4 linked regions of the Mus musculus genome follow. The protein of the gene in region 2 purifies or fractionates together with the protein of the main gene of each other region. This does not show direct contact. Links are inferred from orthologs where the notes say so. Each region holds a gene or a part of one and is shown on either strand. Other genes may lie near its edges.

Evidence for each region.
Region 1: the proteins of Fgfr1 (region 2) and Rps6ka3 purify together in Homo sapiens (affinity purification with mass spectrometry; 4 studies listed by BioGRID and IntAct, with this or other methods). This does not show direct contact. The link is inferred for Mus musculus from reciprocal best matches to the Homo sapiens genes FGFR1 and RPS6KA3.
Region 3: the proteins of Fgfr1 (region 2) and Cd44 purify together in Homo sapiens (affinity purification with mass spectrometry; 3 studies listed by BioGRID and IntAct, counting the BioPlex papers as one, with this or other methods). This does not show direct contact. The link is inferred for Mus musculus from reciprocal best matches to the Homo sapiens genes FGFR1 and CD44.
Region 4: the proteins of Fgfr1 (region 2) and Cdc37 purify together in Homo sapiens (affinity purification with mass spectrometry; 3 studies listed by BioGRID and IntAct, with this or other methods). This does not show direct contact. The link is inferred for Mus musculus from reciprocal best matches to the Homo sapiens genes FGFR1 and CDC37.

The regions. Positions count from the first base shown.
Region 1 is NC_000086.7:159,254,514-159,258,631, reverse strand, and holds the start of Rps6ka3 (ribosomal protein S6 kinase alpha-3), read right to left. Parts: upstream 2,851-4,118; 5' UTR 2,513-2,850; coding exon 2,444-2,512; intron 2,427-2,443; exon of another isoform or gene 1-2,426. UniProt on the Homo sapiens protein: Serine/threonine-protein kinase that acts downstream of ERK (MAPK1/ERK2 and MAPK3/ERK1) signaling and mediates mitogenic and stress-induced activation of the transcription factors CREB1, ETV1/ER81 and NR4A1/NUR77, regulates translation through RPS6 and EIF4B phosphorylation, and mediates cellular proliferation, survival, and differentiation by modulating mTOR signaling and repressing pro-apoptotic function of BAD and DAPK1.
Region 2 is NC_000074.6:25,556,704-25,560,263, reverse strand, and holds part of Fgfr1 (fibroblast growth factor receptor 1 isoform 1 precursor), read right to left. Parts: intron 2,534-3,560; coding exon 2,444-2,533; intron 2,194-2,443; coding exon 2,021-2,193; intron 1-2,020. UniProt on the Homo sapiens protein: Tyrosine-protein kinase that acts as a cell-surface receptor for fibroblast growth factors and plays an essential role in the regulation of embryonic development, cell proliferation, differentiation and migration.
Region 3 is NC_000068.7:102,898,816-102,903,108, forward strand, and holds the start of Cd44 (CD44 antigen isoform c precursor), read right to left. Parts: upstream 2,851-4,293; 5' UTR 2,532-2,850; coding exon 2,453-2,531; intron 1-2,452. UniProt on the Homo sapiens protein: Cell-surface receptor that plays a role in cell-cell interactions, cell adhesion and migration, helping them to sense and respond to changes in the tissue microenvironment.
Region 4 is NC_000075.6:21,147,085-21,151,139, forward strand, and holds the start of Cdc37 (hsp90 co-chaperone Cdc37), read right to left. Parts: upstream 2,851-4,055; 5' UTR 2,774-2,850; coding exon 2,672-2,773; intron 1-2,671. UniProt on the Homo sapiens protein: Co-chaperone that binds to numerous kinases and promotes their interaction with the Hsp90 complex, resulting in stabilization and promotion of their activity. Inhibits HSP90AA1 ATPase activity.

The DNA.
Region 1 (4,118 bases), on a different chromosome or scaffold from region 2:
AATCAGATTGTGTATTTTTATATGCAAGTATTTGCATATAAAAATACACGATCTCTAACTATTAGCATGTCTATGCTTTGACTCTTTCCACGAATGGTCAGAAGAACCTATTCTAACATAAAGCAAAGCATACAATTTGTATCTACCTGGCTTCAAATTATGGCTCTGCCATTTACTATTTATAATCTTTGTGCTCTTAACCACTGAATTTAGTTTCCTACTCTGTAACAGTGGGGGATCACAATCCTCCCTGCTAGGTTACAGGGAGGATAAAAACGAAACAGCATGTTTAACATAGTACTTTTGGATATAGTAGATGCTAAATAAGTAGGCGAGTACTTTGTCTAAATGCATACTATACAGAAAAAAGGATAAAGTAGAATTTTAAATGATTTCTCCCTGCATACTGACACATGTCAAGGAAAAATGTGGATTAACAAACAATCAAAGGAACAAACTATTCAAAGGCAATTTGTTGTTAAAAACATTTTAATGTATCAGTGGATTATTTTTGAATCATAATTATTGTGTATATTTAAAAAGCAGACTCATAGCCAAGCATGAAGACACACGCCTTTAATCCCAGTTCTTGGGAGGCAGAGGCAGGTGGATCTCTGTGAGACCAAGGCCAGTCTGGTCTACATAGTGAGTTCCTGGGCTGTTTCAAAAAACTAAAGAAAAAAAAAACCTAAAATAAAAAGCAGATTATAAGAAAATACAATTTCTTCGACAGGTTCAGCAATTTTAACCACCTTTATAGCTGTATTTTAAATGCAAATTTTTTTCTTTAAGAAAAAATGAAGAGGCTCCCTTGCCATACTGTTTTTCCACACTACCCATTCAAATGACGGTTAAGCATTCTAAGTTTAACTTTATTATTAAAGATTTATAGTATCATATTGGCTCTAAATTCAAATAAAATTCTTGTATTCTGCCAGTCGTAAAAACACGATTTCCTTTTTTACACCAGCCTTTCCTTTAAAAAAAAAAGTAACATATACCTATGTCTTTGCTATTTTAGAACAGCATTATCCAGTAGTAAATTATTAAGCATGAACTTGTAAGCTTTATTACAACTCTTCCTGCATTTAAGAACAAGTAAATATTTTTATATGGTAGTGGAGGTGACAGGGGAGAAAAATTAGAAAAAACGATCTGAACGGATTCCTCCCTCCCCCTCTCCCCCCTCCCAGAGAATGTCAGCGTCCCGCATCTCACACCAAACTGAGCCCGAGTTTTACTGACGTAACCAGTAACCCTACCCACCTCTCACACTGCGGAGGCCGATGGGGGCAGTGGCTGCCGCCAAGTACACCACTCATCAGAGCCTGCCCCATTCCACCCCCGCGTTTCAGTCATGCTTTCCAGAAATGGGGTCACTCGCTCAGTAACTATTACACACACCCAGCCTATCATTCTGTAATCCCCTAAAGTCCGCTGCGAGGATAGAATTCAGCGAAAAGTCAAGAAAGAGGAATCACAGACGCGCCACCATCAGGAACTGATTTTCCACTCTGGAGAGGAGCGCTGATACCCTGGAATGGATCTTGTCTGCATTATTTTTTTAGATCGCCAGTTGATTCTGGGACAGTGGCGGCTGTGAAAAGCTCGGTGCTGGGATGTGTCCGCGGAAATTCTGTTTTGCCTTGTTTGGGTATACTGTTTGGGTTTCTGACACTGGGGTGGGTATCTCAGGGCCGATCATCAGATCCCGGGAGAGGAAAATCAGATAGCCCTTTTACAGCGTCCGCTGATCTCCTTGAATTTCACCCGCTCACCTCCATGGACAGGAAGCAAAAGTTATACTGGGGTCTTCCAACTCAGTGACCTCAAAACCTAGGAGTAGGGGACCTAAGGCGCTCCGTTTTTCTTTTGCAGCAGCGGCAGAGAGCGCTGCGGCAGACTGACCGGGGTGTGGGGGGATCCCTCAGTCCTGGACCCCTTACTCAAAACCCTCCCGGCTTGGCTCGCCCACCTTGCCCTGTGGGCGCCCGTCTCCCTGTAGCAAACCCCTCCGGCGGCCAGACTGAAGTCTTGGCTCCTGGTGAACCGAATCCAAAGTCTCTAAGATTCCGGAGAAGACCCTAGAGCCGGCAGGGCCAAACTTCCCAACTCCCCGCCGCCGGCTCCTGCTTTGCCTCCTGCTTCCCCCACGCAAAGTTGATTAAAACAGGCTCTTTGCAAAGCCTCAGCGCCCACTCCAAACCCCACGCGCCGCCACACCGGCACCCCCCAACCCCAAAAGCAGGGAGAGGCGAGGGTGCGGGAAGGAGACACAGACAGATCGGCAAAGCCCAACGACCCAAAGCAGAATCTCGCCCCGGGAACAAGATGTGAGCCGGCGGCGGAGGTGGTCTAAGGGGGGCAGCTCCGGGGAAGAGAGCTAGCGCCGGCGGGGGCGTGGGGAAGGGGCGCGCCTGCCCTGCCGCACGGCTGCACTCACCTCCGCGCTGTCGGAAGGGCTCTCCACAGCCATCTTCTGCCACGGGTCCGCCAGCTGCGCCAGCGGCATCTTTCCCCCCCTCCCCGGCCCGCCGCCGCCTTCACCGCCTCCTCCCTCCCCACCCGCCCCACAGCCGGCTCGGCTCCTTAGCCACTCGAGCTCCAAGGCAGAGCCGAGAAGCAGCAGCCGGGCAGCCGCGGCTCCCCCGAGAGCGAGCTCGACGCCGACGCCGACGCCGACCACCCGAACGCCCAGCGCCTAGCCACAGCCGCCCGCACTCCAAGCGAGAGCCTTGCGCCGCCGCCAGGCACCAGGGCTCGCCCCTTTCTTCCTCTCCTCCTTCCGCCGCCCGGACTACGGCTCCGCCCCCCGCCTCCCCTCCCCGCCGCTTCCCGCGCCCGATCCCAGCAGAACAGCGACGGCCGCGCGCTCCCCCACTTCCGCTCACAACATGGCGTCTAAGCGATACCTGTCTCTCTAGAGCGAGGCTGGGCGGCCTCCGCCACCACCGCGCGCACCCAGGGGCGGGGCCAGTGCCGGACACGCCCCCTGGCTGGCCGCTCGGCGCCGCCCCTTTTCCACCTCCTACCCCTTCCTCCTCCTCCTCCTCCTCCTCCTCCTCCTCCTCCTCCTCCTCCTCCTCCACCTCCTCTCTCTAGCCTCAGCTTCTGGGCCTCGCCTACTTTCAGGAAGGGCGAGCCCAAAAAATTTGGGGGCGTTGGCGGGAGATGGGGTGGGGAGAGAAATGGGCTCTGCGGGGCGGACGAGGTGCCTTTGACTGCCACGAGTCCTAACAGCTCGGAGACTAGTTGAGAATAGGAGAGCAGAGGGGTTCGCGCTCAGCTGGTGAAGCTGGGCAAGGCGCTGGGGGCGCAGTCCGGTGGTAGCAGCCCCAGGCGGAGGCAGGAGGTGTCTTTTCGGCCTTTCTCCTCCAGGGGTGCGCGTGGGCGCGCCTAGGCTATGGGCACATCCCCTCCTGGCCCAAGACTCTCCTCCTTCAGGGTCACAAGCTGGGTATTCATTCACCTGACCCCTTTTCTCCTGCTTGGACGGGGACTCAAGAGGCTTCTTTCCCGGGAGCTAGCCACACATACGTACGTTCGGCTCCCAATTTGATTCAAAGCTTTTCGAGTTGACTCTCGTGTTCAATGTTTAGTACTTTGGAAATTTTTCGTCCCACCCTACCTCCGCCCTAATAACCCTTCCCAAGTGCATAGAGCCCTCGAGTTTCGGCCCAGACTGTCACACTCCTCCCTTGCTACCTAAAGCTTAAAAGAAAACAGGTTCCTTAAGGTTGCCCTTCTTGGCAGAGATTAAGGAGTTAGTAAAAATATCTTCTAGGCAGGAGCGCGGGGTTCCTGCTTCTCCGTTGACTTTAAATAAAAGATTAGATTTTTTTTTTTAAATCAAGCTGGTCGTAGGCGGAGGAGAAAGGGAGGGGAGGTTGTGACTCCTCCTCCTGCCCGAGAAGAGGAAGCCCTAGGTTAAGGGAACCCAATCCTCAGTCGGCAACGGAGCCACAGAATTCTAAGAGTTCGAGAATTAATGGCTGGGCGCTCTGAGTGGATTCCGGGAAGGCTCAGTCCTGGGTTCTCGAGCCCGCTGCTTAGATGCGCTGAGTATGTCTGGGATGTGTAAAAGTCGCTGGGCTGAGTGGAAAGCTACTGCAGCCCCT
Region 2 (3,560 bases):
CATAAATATCACACAGAAACCCCCGTTGCTTCTAGTTGACTCTGGTCAGACCCGTCCTCCTCCTTCCCGTGCTCTTGCATGGAGGAGCTCCCCCTGCAGGCTGCTTACCACAGCTGCCCTTTGACAGTCGCCTTCAGATGTGGTTACAAAATCCTAACTTGCAAACAAAAGGACTTGGTAAGTAAGGCCAGGTAAAGCTTTCCCCATATTCTTTCTTTAAAAAAGGAAGGAAGGAAGGAAGGAAGGAAGGAAGGAAGGAAGGAAGGAAGGAAGGAAGGAAGGAAGGAAGGAAGGAAGGAAGGAAGGAAGGAGAAAAAGAACTGGTGGTGGTGAACACTTTTAATCCCAGTACTCAAGAGGCAGAGACAGGCAGATCTCTGAATTCCAGGCCAGCCGGATCTATAGAGCTAGTTCTAGGCCAGCCAGAGCTACACAGAGAAACCCTGATTGGGGGTGGGAGCGGGGAGAACAAATAATTAATAATGAATAGAGAAAGAAAAAGATTGTGTGTGTGTGTGTGTGTGTGTGTGTGTGGGTGTGTGTGGGTGTGTGTGCGCGCACATGTGAGTGTAGGTGTCCACAGAAACCCTGAAGCTGGAGTTATAGGTGGTGGTGAGTTGCCCGAGGTGAGTGCTGGAAACCAGACTCTGGTCCTCTGGACCAGAGTAGAGTGCTATCTGCTTAATCACTAAGCTGCCTCTCCAGCCATCCCCTCTCACTTTTCTTATACAGGAGCAATGAACAGCCATGCATGGTGGCACATCTCTGTGATCTCAGCACATGGAAGGCTAAGACAGGAGCAGCAATGGAAGTTCAGGCCAGTCTGGGGCACATAGAGAAGGAACACAGTAAAAAAAAAGTTAAAAAGGTATGAGAAAAGAGACATATTTGGGGACCTTGGAGACTCATCAGATCTCTAAGGAAGAGATTCTCATCAAAATGTTCTTCCTACAAATACAAAGGACTTGACCCCCCGGAGGGAGAGGAAGCAGCTTATCAGCATAGGAAGTGCCTAATGGTATCAAAAAGCAACACAAACGTGTTCACCCAGCTGTACTTCTTGGCAAATGTCTAGTGAGTCTGTCATTCGAATATTCTGTTACGGAAGGTGACTGGTTTTTCCTTTTAGGACTTGGGGGCTGAAGATGAAACTCAACAGTGCAGGCTTCTAACACCCAACAGGGAAGCGGAAGCACTGGGGAAAGGCATGGGAGAGAGGGAAATGGATTATGGGCACTAAGAGCTTAAAACAGATCTACCCCGTCGGATCTGACAATTCCACTTCCAGGAATCGGTCCTGAGAAAGGTCCTTTAAAAGTGCACAAGAGGACCAGTCGTGGTGGCACACGCCCCTCTTTTATCCTAGGGCCCGGATTGCAGAGGCAGGTGGATCTCTGTGAGCCTGAGGGCAGCCTGGTCTGCATAGTGAGTTCTAGGCCAGGCAGAGCTAAGGAGAGAGTGAGACCCTGTCTCAAAAACCAAAGGGAGGGAGGGAGAGAGAGAAAGGAAGAGAAGAGGGAGGGAGGGGAGGGTGAATGGTGGCCTGTAAGGTGACTCAACTGGTAAAGAAAGGGACTTGTGACCAAGCCTGCTGACCTGAGAGCGATATTCAGGACCCACCTAGGTGAAGGAGAACTGAGTCCTCCCAGTTTTCCTCTGATCTCCACATATGCATATCCTCCCGCAAATAAAAAAATTCTAAAGTAGTAAAAATCAAAACACTGCAATTCCCAGGAATCTGACACCCTCTTCAGACCTCTGTAGGCATTAGGCACACATGTGGCACATACATACATATATACACACACACACACATACATACACACACACATACATACACGTGAAACCATTATAAAATAAACTTTAAACTAAAACAACAACAACAAAATCTCACCTTTACAAAGGCAACCAAAACAACAACAAAACCCAAAGTAATCATAGCAGATAATAGAGACTTGCTATCCCAGTCCCCGCTCTAGCGCCTTACTCTAACTTTTCTTTGGTATGTACACACGCGTACCTTGTAGCCTCCAATTCGGTGGTCAGGCTTAAACTCTTTGCCATTTTTCAACCAGCGCAGAGTGGGGTTGGGTGTCCCACTCGACGGGCACTTGAACTTCACCGTCTTGGCAGCGGGCACCGCATGCAGTTTCTTCTCCATTTTCTCTGGGGATGTCCAGTAGGGAGCTACAGCTGTACAGGAAAAGCCAAAGGAGACGAATGAGGGCAGCAGGGGCGGCCAGGCTCAGAAGCCAGGGCCCAGGCAGGACCCCATGCCTCCCGTCTACCTGTTCAGTAAGTACCCTAGGTCTTCTAGAGAGGCAGCAACCAGGCACCATGGCCCCCAGGCCCTCTGAGCCTCTCTCCTCCCACTTTAGCCAGGCCTTCCTCTAAGTCCCAGCTCCCAGTCTCGAAGGCAGTAAGATAGAAAACAGTGTCTCACGCCTACGGTTTGGTTTGGTGTTGTCCGTCTCTTTCTCCTCCGAGGAGGAGTCATCGTCGTCGTCATCATCTTCCGAGGATGGGAGTGCATCTGTGAGAGGAAGGAGGGGGACTGAGGAGCGTCTAGACCTCCATCCAAACAGCATTCGCCCTGTCTAGACAGACCACCTCACTGCGGTCAACGCGGTGACATGGATAACGCAACAGCCGTCCCATAAGGACTCCCAATTTTCCTGAATTTTGCCTCAGTGACAGTTTGTGTTTAAGAGCTGTGTGCTCCAGTGCTCATCCCGGCCCCAGCGCACTGCCTTCTGCCTAAAAGTTCAGATGGCTCTATCAGGGCCAGCTCCTTTTTTTCCCCCAAATTTATTTAATTCCAGCCTATACACCAAGGCCACTCAGCTAACAGTACCACTTGGGTATCCATAACAGCAGCTGAGGAATCAGTATTCTCTGGACATCAGCCTTTGAGAAACCCAGGCAGATCTAGACACCTGGGCCTTGAGGCTACTTCTAAAGCCTCCGGCTGACCAGCCTGCAATCAGAATCTTCTGGAATGAGTTTCCTGAGGGCTGGAGCTGCCTGCTTTCCTTTCTCTCTCTCTCTCTTTCCCCCAAAGATGTCTTATTGTTTTTAAAACTTATATGTATCTATATGAGCCTGTGTGAGTATGTCCCATGTGTATGCAGGAGCCCAAGGCGGGTGGGCCAGAACGGGGTGCCAGATCCCCAGGACCTGAAGTTACAGGCAACTGTAAACAAGCTATGTGAATGCTGGCAACCAATTCCACTCTACAAGAGTGTCAGGCTCTCTTAACAGCTGGGCAATCTCTCCTGCCCCAGAGCTGCCTTTTTGGTGGATGTTTTAAGACAGGGTGTCTCATGATGTAGAGATGTAGACAAGGCTGGCTTCAAAAACAAAACTCAAAAACATACATCCTGTAGAGTGCAGGGACTAAAGGTGTACACTACTATGCCGGCTATAGCTAGCCTCACTCCCCAAATGGGATGCACTTTGTGTAAATACAGGCTATGTTCAGTAGCTTCTTTAATCCCAGCACCCGGGAGGGAGAAGCAGGCAGATCTTGGAGACTCTGAAACCAGCCTGGTCTACACAGT
Region 3 (4,293 bases), on a different chromosome or scaffold from region 2:
CACATTAACTCCTCACTGTATTTTAGAAGGAAATAGATGTTCTGTGTGTACCCGGGAGTAACTGAGTGAATGGAGATACTTCAGCAAGGACAGGGCTTGCTTCCTTACTTCTTCACCTGGGAAGGCCTAGCCTACACTCTAACTGCCAATGCTCAGAGGAAGCAGAACGGTGCCTGCTGTCCCCAAGTCCCAAGACTCCCAGATGAACCCCATCTTCCTCAACAATAGAGGTACAGTTTCCTAACCACGATCTTTGGAAAGGGAGAGGAGAGATGCAAGTGGACACTTGTCCCCTCTGCCTTTGGTCTAGGGCCACTTTCTTCCCTTGGGGGAGAAGTTGCTTTAGGCCTCCACCACTTCTCTACCGTTTGACTGCCAGCACAGTGATGGATGCTTCCTCCTCTTACGCCACCCCTCCCCAACGCCCCTCCACCTCCATTCCCCACCCTCCCCACCCTCAGCCCCACCACCAGCAACTTTGCTGGTCTCAGTGCTTCCTCATCATCTTCCCAAACCAGTCACTCCCAGAATGGGGCAACCATGATGCCTCTCTTCTCCCTCCCCTTTCTCTTTCACACACATCCTGTGCTAAGTCACATCTCATTTCAGAGTCTCAGTTCCTTCATCGGCTTTACAAGGGCGTGAAAGCCAGGGTCCATGGAGCTGCTGCTACTGGCACCAGCTCTACTTGTCCTGGAGCCACACTGTACAACAAGAAGGTAGAAACCCCAAGGCAGAAGAGAGCCTGCTGGCCTCAGAACCTGACTCCAGGGGGGGTTGGAAGGGCAACAGGTATCTGGGAGTAGACCTTTTAGAATAGCCGGGAGACAGGCCAGGAAAATGTGGGAGTTCGGCTCCTCAGCCCCAACAAAGGTGGGAGCAGTGTGCCAACCTTCCTCCTGTCCTCTGAGGTCAGGTCCAGGCTCTCTCTGTCCTTCCCTCATCCATCCTGAATGTTTCTGCCTTCCAATGGATCCTAGGAGCTCTGGCTCCCTATGGGAGCCTCCACTGCAGCCTCTGCTGGCTAGACTGTTACTGTCCCTGAAGGTCTTTTCAACTTTGTCTAGCACTTGCTTTTAGATATCCCATGGCAGTCTAAGCTAGGGAACTTAATGAACCCAAGTTCACACCCAGCCCCACTCCTTGCTGTGTGACTAGGGGAAGTCACCTAACCTCTCTGAGCCTCTGTTTCCCTACTGGTAAGGTGTTGGGGGGAGCATTTGTCACCAAATCACCATGAGGATAAAATGAGATAGCTTATGTGAATTACCTAACATAGCACAGCAAAGAACACACACACAAATGGCCAATAGTGTCCTACTGCAATTATTATTTGCATTACTTCTGCATCAGCATTCAAAATTTAACATTCAACAATGGAGGTGCGATTTTCTAATCCCAACGTACCATGTCTAAAAAGAAAAAAAAACCCAGTTTGGCACCCCTTACCCCCAGAACTGGATTTAGTAATTCTTGTTGAGAGGAACTCACTGAAGTCTGAGCTGACTTAATGACCTAGCTGGCACTTCTTCAAAGAAAATTTAACTATGCTGATGATAACCAAAGCCTTCGTGGAATTATCTGTTCATATATAGATAAAGGAGGGGGGACGCTTGAAAATGAGCCATACTGGATATTTGGCCCAAGCTCCTCCTCTCCACAGCCACCAAAGTCACCAACCACATTTAGATGGGATATTAGGGACTGCGCTAAAGTTCACAGGTTACCCTGATACAGGTCCCCTCCTGCTCTGAGGCTGCCAGGCAGCAAATATGAACCCTGTTGCTGTTTGACTTTGCCTAGACTGCAAGCACTGCGCGGCTGGTCGAATTATTGCTCCGGTTATGTGTCCTCCTTGGTCCATGTTGGAACCTTTAGGCCACTCAGAGCCTCACACAAACCAGTTCAAACTCCCACAAGCTAAAATAAAGCCGTTGGTGACCAAAGCTGACTTTAAGAGCCCCGAAAACTAGTCAAAGCTGGGACCCACTGTCTTCAGCTTTTCAAGGCTCCTTTCTGAAAAGCTCATTGCCCAATCTCTGGCCTGTAGCTATGTGCACACCTTGGGGAGTGCTCTACAGGTCTGTTCCAGTGTCTGCCTCTACCTGCCTAGCCACAGTTAGCCAGGCTTGGGGAGCCCTTGAGCACCAGAGCCTGTTAGTCGGGACAGAGGCTGCGGGCATCCAAGAGTACAGTTACTTTTGAGCCATGTGCTCCAGCAAGCATGGGGACCTCGCCCAAAATCTGCGGGCAACTTGCCCAGCAAACTTTCTTCTCCCTTTCTCTTTTCCTTTCACCAAAGCAGCACTTCCCAGGCGTAAACTCTTTCCAATAGCATAGCCCCAAATCCCAGCTTTGCTTTGCTAGCCCAATTCACTACAGTCCCTCCCCAGGGCGATTCAACCCAGAGGCATCCAGCTGGAGTCCTCAGGCGCGGTGGCGGGCCACTCACCGATCTGCTGATGTGGATGTGCCAGGCTCAACTGCAAGAGGCAAAGTCCCCAAGCTGTGTGCCACCAAAACTTGTCCATGGCGTGCTGGATGAAACGGAGGGATCTAGTCGCCTCTGGAAAAGGGTCGTGGGGAGAAGGGCAACGAGGGTGAATGGAACCTGTCACTGGCTGGGGGCTGCTGGGCAATGAGACCGCTTCGGAAGTTGGCTGTGGTTTTTATTCCAGGCTTTGAAAGAGTGAGTGACCTAAGAGGGAGGGAGCGCGCGAAGGACACACCCAAAGCGAGGGGGCTGTGACTAAGCAGCCAACGGAAGTTTAAAGACACACCAGCCTGCTTTCGCTACTGCCCCTGCACTCCTGCCCTGCTCTCTTGGACAGAAGAGAATGGCCGCCCCCCTCCCCCCCCCAGCCCCCGTGCGCCCACGTTCTCCAGGGCCACTCCACAGGCTTCCTACCCTGGCCCAGCCTACCAGCCTATGAGAAGCGCTGCCTGGGACAAGGAGAATGACTGAGTTCTAAGACCTCGCCCCTCTCAGTTAAATCTTCCAGTTTCTCCTTTGCCACTAAACTTGGGAACCTGGCTAGGGAAAGACTGGTTTTCCCAGGAAGCTGAGGAAGCTGGACTTATCTTAGGGAGGAACTGAAGAAAGAAAGAGGCTGAAGGGAGAGAGAGAGAGAGAGAGAGAGAGAGAGAGAGAGAGGGAGAGGGAGAGATCCATCCTAGTGGAGAGTGCTTTCCTGGCCAGGGTGGGGACTGAAAAGTGGGGAACTTGTGGGAGTGTTCTTTCCTCTTTCCCTCTGAGAGAAGTCCAAACCGCTCATCTGATCTTTGATCCGGGGAAAACCCAAGGGTGCTCAACACATTTCATTCATGCTCTCAAAATATCTACCAATTTCTTAAATCCTTCTCGGACTCACAATCCACCCATCCATTCCTCTGTCCACCCATCTTCCTTCTGCAAATGCACTAATCTAGCCATACTACACCTGCCCACCAATTCTTGTATTCGCCCACCTGCACAACTTTTCAATCCTTTTCACACCCCTCCTCAGCTCATATCTGTTCATCATATTTCCTATCCATCCCGACGCACATACATGGTTCCCGTCTCTCATTCTACCCATCCCCATATCCACTCACACATTTAACTGTTCTTTCTTGTTTACATTTTATATTCTCTTTGCTGCAAACTTTAATACATTCAAATTCCCCTTTACATCTTGATACATTTCAAAGAGGGATGCACATTTGCCATAGTCTTCAAGGGAGAAATCTCAAGGCTGAAAATCGGGGAAAATCGTATGTAAAATTGCAATTCCCTATCTTCTCTAATACCCTGCAAGTTGCAATTTGGATATCAAAAGCTCTGTTTATTTTTAATGTGAACTAAATCTGAGTGGACTTCTTGCTGAATGAGAAACACAGAAGGCATGGCCAGGGCAGGACCCGGAATGAATCATGCCAGAATTTCTGAAGGAAAATGATATTTTGGGATTTACTGAAAGAAACTGAGAAAGTGAGAGAAATGTACACAGCCACCTGTCCATCCATTTATTCATCAAGCACGTAATGAGTGCCAGAGGGTTTCAAGAGAAGCAATCCTGGTTTGGTCTAGGCACTAGCTCCCACACAAGCCAGTGGCTGCTGCAGTATAAAATATACTGCAAACTACAGCTAGGACTGGGAAGATGGCACAGTGATAAAGTGCTTGCTGCCAAGCATGGGACAAGTTAGATCCTTGGAACCCACATGGTGCCTTAGGCAAGTTGTCCTCTACCTGTCACAGGCCTGCCACATACACACAATTAATAACTGTTAAAATGATTAAAAATAATCATT
Region 4 (4,055 bases), on a different chromosome or scaffold from region 2:
TGGCTCTTCAGTGCTTCCTAATACAATGCTATGCGAGGCACTGGGCTTCTCTGCTGCCACACACTGCTGCCTGGCAGGTGGTCTTCCCAGGAAACTGGAAGGAATAGGTGTGTGGGTGGGACTGGGAGCCGAATGCTGGATTTGGGGAGGATGGGGAAGGACTTTCTAGGAGTAATGAGAAGTTTTCCCCAAGAAGGTGAGATGCAAAATTCCTAAATGGAAAGTACCTGCCCTCAGCTTGAGAGTATAACAAGCACAGGGGCCAATGAGAGGACTCAGTGGGAAAAGGCCTGCTACCAAGCCTGATGACTTGAGTTTGATCCCAAGAACCCACATGTAAGGAGAAAGTGGACTCTATCAAGTTATCCTTTGACTGCCACAAGGATACCTCGGCACACATACATAAGAATTAACACACACAAAAAAATTAAGATGTAACTTAAACAAAGAGTATAAGACACACAGGTATATGGGTATAGAAGTTTTAATTTGGGGAGCAGGTTAGGCCATTGTCTCTTTACTGCTGCGACAGAGTTGGAACCCAGTACCTCTTGCACGCTAGAGAAGTACTCTACCACTGAACCACACATCCAGGCCACCCTCACATCTTGGTAGTATGCTACAGGCCTGCAGGTAATGATGGCACAAGGGAGGGGCAAGAGCATGGCTTGCTCACACTTGGGGTTCTAAGGTCTCAATCTGGGGCGTCTGTTTTGGAGAGATGTAAAACTGCAGAGGACTGTATTTTATTTGCTTGGTGGTTGACAGGATCCCCTGTAGCCTGTGCCAGCCTCACACTTACCGTGGCTGACGACTTTGAACTTCTGACCCTCCTGCTTCCCTCTCCCCAGTGCTCAGACTACAGGCCTGCCCCACCATGGCTAGTTTTTAAGCAGTGCTAGAGATGGAGCCCAAGGCAATGCCATACAACTGAACTCCAGCCCATTTGGTTTTTGATATTGTCTCATGTAGTCCAGGCTAGCCTAGAATTTGCCCTATATCGAGGACTGACTCTGAATCCCAGATCCTCCTTCCTCGTCCTCCTCCTAAGACCTGAGTTTACAGGTGTGCTACCATGCTCAGAAAGTAAGGTTATGTGGGAACATTATCTGGGAGGTCCAGAGTTAACTAGGATGCTCTGAACCCTGGAGAGAGACAGATGAAGCTGGAGGGAACGGGCAGGTAGGACAGGACAGGCTTGGTTTTCTGGGTTGGTGAGCTGTCTTTTCTTTCTCTTCCTCCCCTCCCCCCTCTCTTTATCCTACCCGACTCCCGGCCCCATCCCTCCAGACAGGGTTTCTCTGTGTAGCCCTAGCTAGCTGTAGAACTCTCTGTAGACCAGGTTGGCCTTGAACTCACAGGCCTGCCTGCCTCTGCCCCCTGAGAGCTAGGATTAAAAATGTGTGTCATCATCATCTGGCTCCTGGTTTGGTGAATTTTCAAAGATGGCTACAGTTCATATAGGAGCCAAGGTGGGAAGGAGAGGGTCTACTTACTATACTAGAAGGAGCAGAGGTTCTAACAGGAAGTTAGGTGGGTGGGGTTTCCTGGAGTAACAGGAAATAAGAGTCTACAGGAGGTGAGAATAAGGAGAGCCACTGGAACTGAATGATGGGCAAGAGTGGAGATGGAGGTCAAATACAGAGGATAAGGGGGCTCTACAGGTATGTCCCATGTGGGACTCAAGTCTATAACCCAGGGAAAGGGATCCTGGACTGGGGAATCCCAGCTGCAAGCTAAGATTGACAGTTAAATTAAGGGCTCATTTAGTTTGGAAGTTGGGGGGGGAGGGGGTCGTCTCTGGGCCTTTAATAGAAATTCATGCCTAAGATCCTGGGAAATAGATGCCATAGTCAGAAGTTTTGTGGCTCCAGACTCTAAGTAGTGAGGAGAGGCAGAAGGGAGACGTGCAATATGAAGTGGGTGCGTGGCTGGGCTATGAGATCACCTAACAGAACCTGGGGTCCAGACTCTGAGGAAGAACAGAAGGTTCTGCACAGGATAGTGGGGACCCTACACACAAGGGTCAGCTTGGGGATGGGGAGAGGCAAGACTCTGACTAAAGTATTACCAACTGATAAAATGGCTCAGAGTGTAAAGGTGCTTGTGGCAACGTGGGGCGACTGGAGTTCCACAGCCAGTTCCAACATGGTGAAAAGAGAGGCCCAACTTCTACAAGTTATCCTGTGATCACCATAGGCATGCTGTGCCACGTGCACACGGGAACACACACAATAAATAAACTTACAAACAGAAGAGAACCATAGCACAGAGAGAACGCCTGGAGATACAGGTCAAGAATTACGGTGAAGAAGCCAGGAGTCCTGGGATGGAATTAAAAAGTCCGGCCCTGCATGAAGGCACATGTCTCTAATCCCAGTACTGGGAAGGCAGAGGCAGGAGGATCACTGTGAGTTAGAAACCAGCCTGTTCTACACAGCAAGTTCTAGGCCAGGGAAGGTTACACAGTGAAATTTTGTTTCAAAAAAAAAAAAAAAGAAAAAGAAAAGAAAAGAAAGAGAAAAGTCTAGATTGTGGAGCAGGCGGCTCCAGATGTCAATAACTAAGGTCTCCCCCGCCCCCACGCCAGGTGGCCTGGGGAAGAGGTCAGAACTCTAGAGCGGGGGGTCCCGGGAGTGGGGGGGAAGGGGATGAGCGCGCACAGCCCCACCTGGTGCCGCCAGCGGAAGAGGCTGGCAGTGTCTATGTTGGGGTGCGTCTCGTCCTCATCGTCCGACACCTCGATGTGATCCCAAACGCTGTAGTCCACCATCTTCGCTTCGGAGGCCCGGACTGGCTCCCGGGGCTCCACACGGCCGGGCGCTGAACAGGGACCCACAAGGGCTAGAGAGTCCGCTCGGCGAGCCCCGCCCCTTCCGCTTCCGCCCAGGGCGCCGCGCAGGACGGCCCCGCCCCAGCGTCGGCGCGGGACGTTACGTCCTTAGCAACGGGAGTCGGCGGCATTGGCAACCGGAGGTCTTCTTTAAAGGGCCAGGAGTATGTGGTGAGGCCTTCTGGAAGTTCCCGCCGAAACCAGACTGACCATCCTTTAGAAACAAAAGGTTAGTCGCGTTGGGCGTGGTGGCCCACGGTAATCCAAGTACGCTAGAGGCAAAAGCAGGTGGCTCTCCAGGAGTTCTAGTCCAGCCAGGGCTACATATTGACACTGTCAAAAAGTCAAAATTGGCTGGGCGGTAGTGGCGCTATGCCAGTACTCCGGAGGCAGAGGCCGGCGGATCGAGGCCAGCCTAGCCTACAGAGTAATTTTAGGGACGGTCAGGGTTGTTATACAAACAACACTCTAAAAAAAAAAAGTCAACATTGCATACACTAGCAAGATTTTATCGAAAGGACCCAGATGTAGCTGTCTCTTGTGAGACTATGCCGGGGCCTAGCAAACACAGAAGTGGATGCTCACAGCCAGCTAATGGATGGATCACAGGGCTCCCAATAGAGGAGCTAGAGAAAGTACCCAAGGAGCTAAAGGGATCTGCAACCCTATAGGTGGAACAACATTATGAACTAACCAGTACCCCGGAGCTCTTGATTCTAGCTGCATATGTATCAAAAGATGGCCTAGTCGGCCATCACTGGAAAGAGAGGCCCATTGGACACGCAAACTTTATATGCCCCAGTACAGGGGAACGCCAGGGCCAAAAAGGGGGAGTGGGTGGGTAGGGGAGTGGGGGTGGGTGGGTATGGGGGACTTTTGGTATAGCATTGGAAATGTAAATGAGCTAAATACCTAATAAAAAATGGAAAAAAAAAAGTCAAAATTGAGGCTGGAAAGTTGGCTCAATAGTTTGGAGACTGGCTGGTCTTCCAGAGCACCCGGATTCTGTTCCCAACACCTACATGGCCACTCACACCCATCTGTAAGTCCAACCCAGGATATATATATTATGTCCCCATTTGGCCTTTGACTACACCAGGCATGCATGTGGTGGACAGATATACTTGCAGACAAAACATTAATATACAATTTGTTTTTTTTAATCATGTTTGCCCTTAATTCCCACCCCACCCCCACCCCCACCAGAGTCTCACTGTATATA